Linked DNA regions of Tribolium castaneum. The protein of the gene in region 2 purifies or fractionates together with the protein of the main gene of each other region. This does not show direct contact. Links are inferred from orthologs where the notes say so. Each region holds a gene or a part of one and is shown on either strand. Other genes may lie near its edges.

Region 1 (2,827 bases), on a different chromosome or scaffold from region 2:
ATGCGTTGCTCTGCATTTCACGCCCGACGACCAGGAGCGTAAGTCCATGTCACCCATAACCAGATCCACACAGCGTATGACCAGAGCCATGCAGGTATGGGGGCAGTCGAATCGCTTGTCTTGCTTTTGTGTCGCTTTTGCCCGAACTCACCACAAGTGCTGCCATCTATTCTGACTTGTTTTGTGTCTCGTTTAGGAAACTATGATGACTCCCAGAAGCAGGAAGCCGGTCTTGCTTGTTTCCGGGACGAATATCAACACCTTGGCGAAGATTGAAACAGTTGAGGCCATGGATGAAGTCCCCGAGGAGGTGGAGAAGGATAATTCGTTGAGTCAGACGTTTCGAGAGTATTTGGAAAATCGGAGCATGTTGACGACTTCGTCGCCCGCCGCAGATTCGAGTTTTTCCAGTCGGACTGATGATTTCAACTCCGACTTGAGTCCGAGCAAAATGACTGATTCGTTACTGAGTTGTTTGGACGGAAATGACCCCGGAAGTGAGAAGGAACTTGTTCTCAAACCGAAACAATTCGATGAAAATGGACAACCCATAGTATTTGAAACCTCATTTTAGTTAATTGTAGTACAAAAGCAGGACCATTTTGTAAATATATTTATTAAAGAAAGATAACAAATGAGAAAAATTTAATAAATAGTGACATAATTCGCGTTGTGTTTCTACCTAAAAAGTTAAAACATATCATCGTGCGTCAAGTCGGCCATTAAGTGCAGCCCCCGCTCCTTCAGCGCCTTTGACACTAATTTCTGTTGTTCTTGCTTGGACTCCTGTTCTTGTCTCTGAGCGTCAAGTATTTCATCCACTGAGACTTCAGTCAGCGGCAGTTCGGCTTCTTTCTCTGCATCCTTGGCAAAGTTTAAACAATCACAACTTCAAACCTGACTTACTATTTCGCCCAGTAAGACTACGTTTTCGCCTCGAACTATAAAGACACCACGGGGGATATCCCCATATTCTTTACCCACATGAATGCGTTCGATCGTGTGGTGCAAAACCAAGTTTGCAAACTGGTCAACACTTCGTAAATAACCAATTAGGGTCCTACCATCGCGCAAGAGGACCATTAATTTTTCTACAAGAAGCGATCAGTTTTGGGGTTATTGCCCCTTTGACTTACTGTCGAGCTCGTCCAACAAGTGCGCGGTGCCTTCCAGTTCGGTTTTATTCATATTTCACGCTTTTATAACATGTAAAATAAAGGGGGTTGTTTTGGAAAAAGTGAGGTTAGGGGCAACTCATTGACGTAACAACCGCTAGAGCGCCGCGTGTTAAGTCATTAAAATGGGCGGAAAATTAATTAATTCGACTTATTTACCACTTAAACGGCTTTTCCCACGTTCCTTAGTTTAAAACACAACTTTTCGTGGCGGTTTAAGCGGTCATTTTATACATTCCATTGAATTAAAAAAACATAGATTGCAAAAAAATTGATTTATTTATCACAATTACACAACATTTGGCCCTCAAACCCACTCCTCGTGCCCCCGATCCACCTCCTTCTTCACCACAATTTGACTCGTGACGTACACAATGTTAACATCGCGACTCTCCTTCACTTTGTATTTTTTCCGCCTGGCCCCCTTTCGGGGACAGTGCACGCAACACGTGTGCTCCTGTCTCTCCACCCGTTCTTTCCGCCGCCTGTTTTTTGGCATTCCGGCCAAAATACACTGTTGTAAGAGTGCCCTTTCGGCCTCGCTCAATTCGTGGGATTCCCTCACGGCCGAGGGGCCCCCTTGAGTCAGGTTCTTATTTTTGGGCATTCCGGACAGGATACACTGCCGTAGGAGGGCTTGTTCGGCCTCCGTCAGTTCCGAGGAGTCGTCCTCGAAGGGTTTTTTCGGGACGTTTCGGCACTTTTTCATCCCTTCAAGGATACACTGTTCGAGGAGGGCTTTCTCAGCGGGGGTCAAGTCGGGGGACTGGGGGCGCTTGGGCATCCCGGCCTCGATGCACTGCTGGAGGAGGGCTTGCTCCGACTCGTCCGAATCTGATTCACTAGAGGAGAAATTTTCAATTTTGCTTTTTTGTCTCGACCCGGAAGTTTCGCCCATTTTACTAAAAAATTATTACTAGAATATGGAAGAACACAAAAGTGACTTACTCGTAGTTGGATTTATTTTTGGCAATTACGGCCATTCCAAACTTGACGCACTCCTCCAATAACTTTTCGTCTTCTTCTGACGAAAAATTACTCAGGTCGGAAAAGTATTCTTTTTCGTCCCCGTTTTGGATAGAGAGGACGCTGAGATCAGAGCAAGAACCGGCGTGACTTAAAATGGCAGGAGTGTCTTCAGTGCAGTAACTCTTAATTGTATCGTTTACAATTTTTGGTTGTGTATAACTGTTATGAAAATTAGTTAAAAAAAATCGAATGGTTTACTGATTTCTTTACCGATTTTTTGTAATTCCGATGTTTATGCACTCTGATAAAATTTTATCGTCTTCGTCCGACGATTCGCTTTCAATGATTTGGTTACGTGACAGGTCCGGATTAGGTAAGTTTTTTGGCACGTCAGGGGCCCCCGAAATTGACGCTTTCGAGGGCATTCCTGCTAAAATACATTCCTGGAGCAGAGCCTCCCCTGCTTCGTCCGAATCGTCACTCAGAGAAAAAGACGAACGGCGAGACGGCGGACTTCCCGTAGTTGGAATTTCTACCAGAGTTACATACAATATTTTTTATGACACAAACTATTCGGTTGAGTTAGCAACATTGAATAAAAATCTTGGAGATTCTGTTAAAAGAAATATTGTCAAGCCTTAGTTTGGTGGTGGTCACCAGAAAAAATAAAAAATAATAAAAAT
Region 2 (2,380 bases):
GTCTCAGATCAGTCGGTTTGTTTCAAGTGGTTCAGGAAAAAATGAATTATTCCAGCGCCGCACGTCGGTGCCAGGATTTGGGGGGCGACCTGGCTGATATTTTGACTGAGGCAAGGACGAACGCACTAGCTGCGTTACTCAAGTCTTTGCCTAACTGGTACAAGGGGGCATACGTTGGCCTTGACGACATTACGGTTGAGGGGAGTTTTGAGACTCCAATGGGGGACTTTTTGCAATGTTCGCGGTTTCGGGCCTGGGCTGTGGGCCACCCAAGACCAGGACGAAGAAAAGAAGACTGTGTCATGTTAGATGTTGAAAAAACGTGGAGGGCACTCAATTGTAAAATTAAATTGGACTTCATCTGTGAATTTTATCCAACTCCTCCGGACAACACATTGAATGAATTTAAATATCAGAACTGTAGTCTCGTTAAAAGTAAGAAAAAGAAACAAGAGTGTGAGACAAATAACGAGTTATTTGAGCTATACAACAGCTCTACGAGAATCGATCAGTGCGCTTTAATGAACGACTTTGAGTTTTGAAACGTTTTTATTACAAAAAATACATTAGATTCTACGTTTTTGTGTACTTATGTAGAGCACATTGTTGCCCCTAATAAACGCATCCCCGAATTTATTTTTGAGTTGTCCGTTGACGTATTCCTCGGTTTGCTCCAACGCTATGTTCATGTAGCCATCGAGACAAGCCAAAACACCTAAAAACCAAATAATAGCCCCCTTCATTGACAAAAAACAAACATAACCTCACCTCTGTAATCTACACCACTATTCAACTTGACCACAACAGGCCTGGCGTGAATTTGTTGAATAAAAGACGAAAGGGCTTCTTTGCGACTCATCCTTATCAGCTTGTGGCTCAAATTTGCTTATTTAACCGCCTCGGCTGACAAAAACCTAACCTCAAATCGGCATGTACATAACCCCACTTCCTGTTTTTTTCACGCAAAACCATGTCGAAACCGCTAACATTCGTCACCGGCAACGCCAAAAAGCTCGAAGAGGTGGTTGCCATCCTCGGCTCGACATTCCCACGCAAAGTGGTGAGTCAAAAAGTGGACCTCCCTGAGCTCCAGGGCGAAATCGCCGATATTTGCGTGAAAAAATGCCAAGCGGCGTACGAAATCATCAAGGGGCCGTGTATCGTCGAAGACACGTGTCTGTGTTTCAACGCATTGGGTGGTTTGCCCGGTCCTTATATTAAGTGGTTCTTGGATAAGTTGGGTCCTGAGGGGCTGTTTCGACTACTGGCTGGGCATGAGGATAAGAGTGCCCAGGCCGTTTGTACTTTTGCATATCATCCGGGCGATGAAGGGGGCAAAGTGATTCTGTTCGAGGGGCGCACGGATGGAGAGATTGTGATGCCGAGGGGGCCGAGGGATTTTGGATGGGATCCGTGTTTCCAGCCAGTGGGGTACACGCAGACGTACGCCGAGATGCCCAAAGAGGAGAAGAATAAAATCTCTCATCGGTACCGCGCCTTGGACGCGCTGAGGAATCATTTTATGAACCAAGAGAAACAATAATGTTTTGTCGTTTTAGTTTTATTTGACTTTAATCAACTTAAATAAATTGTTTTGTTTGATTTGAGTGCTTTTTTGTTACGCTTTTCTTATTTCTCCGGCAGGTTTATAACAAAACAGTCCGGGGGGTAGTACTTTTTAGTACTCAAATGCCATTATTGAAAGGATAGTAATAAAGCGATCAGTAAAAAATTCGATTTTAATCAGTAAAAAATAATAAATCATCAGTATTTAATTCATTTTTGCACAGTAAAAAATTTAAATGACAAGTAAACCACGCACAGTATTTTTTTAAAATTTGCCCAATAAAAAAATCGTATATGCACAGGATCTAGTTTCAGTTTGCACAGTTTAAATAATAAACGCTCAGTAGCTAGCTTGCAGTCTAGGGCTTCGCCCCAGCAAACTAAAAGGAAAAATACTCCTCGAACGATTAAACTCAAAAACGTAAAATTGGAAATGTGAAATTCTACACACTCTAGTTTTGAGATGCTATTATTTACTGTGCATTTATTATTTTTACTGTGCAATTATTATTTTTACAGTCCATTTATTATTTTTAGTGTGCATTTATTATTTTTACTGTGCAGTTATTATTTTTACTGTGCATTTATTATTTTTACTGTGCATTTATTATTTTACTGTGCATTTATTATTTTTAGTGTGCAATTATTATTTTTACTGTGCATTTATTATTTTTAGTGTGCAATTATTATTTTTACTGTGCATTTATTATTTTTACTGTGCATTTATTATTTTTACTGTGCATTTATTATTTTACTGTGCATTTATTATTTTTAGTGTGCAATTATTATTTTTACTGATTAAAAATACTTGTCG
Region 3 (4,215 bases), on a different chromosome or scaffold from region 2:
CAATTTTTTAAGTTGTCGTAATCATGAGGTACTCTGAACGATTTGTAAATACCCGTCATTTCGCACATATTTCTCGCGCAAATTGCTCAAACGTCACAAGTACAAAATCACGTATTGTAAATAAGAGAGAACGAAGCAATATTTTGTGTATCGTATATATTTTTTAGATAATTTTCAGCCACTCAAACAGGAGAAACATGTGCGAAATCACCCACCACTGCCAGCATATTGAGGGCGGTTACCTCATTTGTATCTAGAGGTAGAGAGTTGTTGAATAAATATGTTTGAATCGCTTTTATTTCTGAAGTAACAATCGGAAATCATCATTGGTTTTCGGTTTGACATCACCATTCGTCGCACTCTTGACTTGCAAGGACCTCGGTAACATCGGGACTTGTAATCGGCTGCGTGCATGCCGTGTTGGTGTACTTTTTGCAACTGTTGTTGGTTTCTTGACAGGGGGCGCGCTAATTGCCACACTGATGGTAAAGTCCCCGACTGTCATCCCATCGGTCTTTTCCATGGCTTTCTTAGCACTTGCATCGTCCTCAAACTCAACATACGCGAGTCCTTTTGGCTTACCATCTCGCCGACACACCAAACGCACGGTTTTCGCCCCAAAAGGCCGAAAAATCGCCTCAATTTCCTCCTGCGACTTGTCATAGGGGAGTCCCTTAACGAAAAGTTTATTGGTCTCGGGTTCATTCGAGTACTTAAAGCCGGCTTTCCGCTCCTCACGATTCGGCTTACAATTGGAAATAAAAATAGGGCGGCCGTCAAGCAGCTCCCGGTCACGTGCCAGCGCCGCCATGACACTCTCCTCAAGGGCGAACTGCACGTACCCATAACACCGGGACTTCCCCCGCTTATCGACCACAATTTCGACATTTTCGCAATTGGGGAAGAATTTCCTCAGTCGTTTTTCATTCACACTAGTGTGTAGATTACTGACGAAAATTGTGCGAGTCGGGTCTTTGACCACCGCCTGCTTTTTGTGTTTCTTAGGCGGGGGTTCGGCTTCGCTCGGGTGTTTTCGTTTGGTTCCGGTGGCTTTCGGCGGCTCAATCGTTTTTAGTTTCGGTTCGATTTCTTTGCGTTTTTCGAGGCATTTTAGAACGTCGGGTAGTTTACCGAACTCGCGTTCGAACTCACGCCATTCGTCGGCGATAAACAGGGGCCAGTCGGTGCAATTGGTTAGGGCTTTCTGGAAAATGGCGCGGACTTGCGGGGGTTCCCCGAACTGGCGTTCAAGCCGCGCGTACTCCAGCCAAGTGTTGGCCAGGATTTTGTGGTTCGGGCTTTTGAGTAGGTTTTTCCAGAGGTTTCGCGCCCCTTGCATGTTGTTATTTTTGGCCAAAATTCTCGAATACCACTTTGTGATTTTGAGGGCGCCTTCGTCGTTATATTTTAGTTGTTCTAAGGCTTGGTCAAAAGATTTGAAAACTTTGGCTTGGTCTTGGCACGTCCGTGAGACGTATTCTAAGTAGGCGAGCCACAGCTCGCTTGATTGGGCGCCTAAATTTGACACAGCCTGCTCGAAACAAGCGACAACTTCGCTATTATCCTTCTGGAGACTTTCAAGGACTTGTAGGCGCATAATCCACAATTCTTGACTCCAGGGGCAATTTCTCAAAGCCTTAGTTGTGATTTTTTCAGCTGGGGCTCCCAGTTTCAGGCCGTAGAGACAATAATCGAGCCAAATCTCCGGGTTGAGACACATCTGGGCCGTTGCGCGTTCATAAAGACACAAAATTGTCGAGGGGTCCGTTAGGACTTTGACGTAGTCGCGATAAACTCGTAATAGTTGCGATTCGTCCGTTGTTACTTGTAGTTTTTCTTCGAACGGCTTGTAGGTCTCTAAGGTTTTCAAAGCCTTGTTATAGCCCCACTCCACCGGTTCAGCATTGATTTTGTGGTCTTGCACCTGCGTTAGCCACTCTTTCCACTCCTTGTAAGTGTTTTCCATGTCAAGGAGCGGCACTGAGAGTTGGCGCCGGAAAACCTCCACGATTTTTTCCACTTGGGTTTTCCATGGCTCGCTCCCTGCCTCCGTCAGGGACAAATGGGCGAATTCCAGCTCCCGGAGAGTGTCCCACAGGAGGCTCCCATCGGCCACGTGTAACCCAGCGGCGGTTAAACCCCTCTCGATTATCACACGTGTCGTGTCAAGGGTGCTAACCCCAATCGAGTACTGCGCGTACTCCACCCACAAATTCACAGCTGAAAAAACGTGTCAGGCTTGCCAATCTAATTTCAGGCTACCTGACCAACTTACACAAATAATCCTCCACGGCTTTATCAAAAAGCCCGAAAATATTCTTAATCTCGCTCTCGGAGCTCGCTAACTTTTTCTCGTCGTTGATCCACGCGAGCCAGATCTCGGGGGTTAGGGGGAAGTACTCTTGGAAGCGTTCGTACGCCAGACGCATCGACTTCAAGTCCCCCAGTTTTCGGTACAAGTTGACGAGCTCTTCGTGGGCATTGTAGAGGTACTTGTTGTCGGAGATTTGGCGTTCGAGGTCTTCAGCACGAGTGAGGAGGGCCTGAGACACTCTTAGAGTTAGAAAAATTTTGGAGGATTGTGGAGGCCCTTACTTGCTCCTCTTGGTCGTCCCCGGAGTCGGAGTCCGAGTCCGAGTTGACCGACATTTGCTCGTTGGAATCGTCGTTTATTTCCATCGTAAAAAGTACGTTTTGACAAATAGGAAAGTTGGGTTATGTTGATGTTGGCAAACAGTGACAGAAGATTTACCAGTCTAATTTTGAGCAGCAAAGTTACTAAATTAATTTGAAACGATACCAATGGAATACACTTCTAATTAACAACAATTTAACAGTTTTGTTTGTTCAGAAAAACCGAAACTGGTTTCAATGTTGAAATTTATTAGCAAAAATACTGTAAAACTGTTTTTCTGGATGTGTATTGCTGGTTGCGCTTTACGACCATAAAATCTCTAATTTAAACGTGGTGTGAGTTGATTAAATTGAATAAAAGTTTTTTAGTAAAAATGTAGTTTTATTTATTGGTCTTTGCTCCGAATAAATTTGAGACCATCTATGCCATGCTTCTGGTTGGGTGTGCACATGCGCCTCAAAAAAGATACGAGCTGTTTGAATTGAAGATTTGAATTTGTAAAACTATGAAGCAATCTTAAATAAATAAAACAAGCAATAAAAATTGGTTAAATGTCTAGTTTTATTTACAGTTGTCGGCCAGCAGAAGCAAACAAAATCACAATCGGAAATAAAGTTTATATTGTAAACAATTTACAATTTTGTACAATTGCATGAGATTCATCGCTTGCACTGTAATAAATAATCTCTTTCAGTTAATATATATTTGAATAATGAACGCTATACAAAATATAAGCTCTTGTCCAACAATTTGTAAAAATAAAATCCAATAATTACTTGATATTTTATACTTCTTATATAATCACATGCTTTTATTACAGTACAGTTAGAGATTGATGGATTTATTTAAATATTTCAGTATATCGCTACTCTCTACTTAAAAATATATGAATCTTTATCAAATCTTTAACAAATAAATAAACCAAAACTGGAGACCAATTACATCTTCATTCGATTTTCATGCGCCTTCTTCACTATAGCAAGCTTGGAATGTGGGTCCAAAACCGCCAATTCCGTATAAGGGGGCTCCTTTGTGCCGTGCAGCATCAAAGTCCACTCCTTGACAAAGCCCGTTTGCGGCATCTGCGAATTGAAGCTGGCCTGAAACAAAAATAATAATAATAAATTTGACTGAAGATATTCAATAAAGTATCGAAACGTCGTAACGAATTTAATTTAATTTATCCTGTGTCCTACAACCCCAATTTCCACGTAATCAAGTTCAAACATTTCAAAAATAAATGTAAAAAATTAATAAAAACCACCCACCTCCAACACCCACGTCCCTTGCGGGTACTCCCCCCACGTATGCGTGGTCATGAAAGGCCACTTCGTAAACCCATCTCTCGTATCATCGTCGTTTTGCCTTCGACTGAGAATCATAGACCTGGTGCCCATCGGCGACGTGAGGAAGAGCTCCAGGTCGCCCCTCCGACTCGCATTCACCGTTAGCACCGCCTGCACGTGCTCCAGATACCTCACCTCGGTGCTCTGCCCCTGGCACGCCGTCGTCGTAATCTGCATGACCAGCTTCTTCGCCGAGGGTATCTTCTGGACCTGGGTGACGGACCCGGCCTCGCA

The links.
Region 1: the proteins of U6 snRNA-associated Sm-like protein LSm6 (region 2) and LSm1 purify together in Homo sapiens (co-immunoprecipitation; 3 studies listed by BioGRID and IntAct, counting the BioPlex papers as one, with this or other methods). This does not show direct contact. The link is inferred for Tribolium castaneum from reciprocal best matches to the Homo sapiens genes LSM6 and LSM1.
Region 3: the proteins of U6 snRNA-associated Sm-like protein LSm6 (region 2) and Rnp4F purify together in Homo sapiens (affinity purification with mass spectrometry; 4 studies listed by BioGRID and IntAct, counting the BioPlex papers as one, with this or other methods). This does not show direct contact. The link is inferred for Tribolium castaneum from reciprocal best matches to the Homo sapiens genes LSM6 and SART3.

The regions. Positions count from the first base shown.
Region 1 is NC_087400.1:5,966,474-5,969,300, reverse strand, and holds LSm1 (U6 snRNA-associated Sm-like protein LSm1), read right to left. Parts: upstream 1,271-2,827; 5' UTR 1,189-1,270; coding exon 1,137-1,188; intron 1,092-1,136; coding exon 907-1,091; intron 865-906; coding exon 691-864; 3' UTR 599-690; downstream 1-598. Other genes in the region: rho GTPase-activating protein 19, read left to right, coding at 1-94, 197-574; adenomatous polyposis coli homolog, read right to left, coding at 1,483-2,077, 2,124-2,363, 2,415-2,676. UniProt on the Homo sapiens protein: Plays a role in the degradation of histone mRNAs, the only eukaryotic mRNAs that are not polyadenylated. Probably also part of an LSm subunits-containing complex involved in the general process of mRNA degradation.
Region 2 is NC_087398.1:10,391,066-10,393,445, reverse strand, and holds U6 snRNA-associated Sm-like protein LSm6, read right to left. Parts: upstream 908-2,380; 5' UTR 860-907; coding exon 769-859; intron 716-768; coding exon 567-715; 3' UTR 543-566; downstream 1-542. Other genes in the region: uncharacterized protein LOC100142353, read left to right, coding at 1-542; inosine triphosphate pyrophosphatase, read left to right, coding at 971-1,543. UniProt on the Homo sapiens protein: Plays a role in pre-mRNA splicing as component of the U4/U6-U5 tri-snRNP complex that is involved in spliceosome assembly, and as component of the precatalytic spliceosome (spliceosome B complex).
Region 3 is NC_087396.1:21,413,678-21,417,892, reverse strand, and holds Rnp4F (squamous cell carcinoma antigen recognized by T-cells 3), read right to left. Parts: upstream 2,885-4,215; 5' UTR 2,680-2,884; coding exon 2,596-2,679; intron 2,544-2,595; coding exon 2,276-2,543; intron 2,221-2,275; coding exon 296-2,220; 3' UTR 280-295; downstream 1-279. Other genes in the region: amon (neuroendocrine convertase 2), read right to left, coding at 3,574-3,735, 3,904-4,215. UniProt on the Homo sapiens protein: U6 snRNP-binding protein that functions as a recycling factor of the splicing machinery. Promotes the initial reassembly of U4 and U6 snRNPs following their ejection from the spliceosome during its maturation.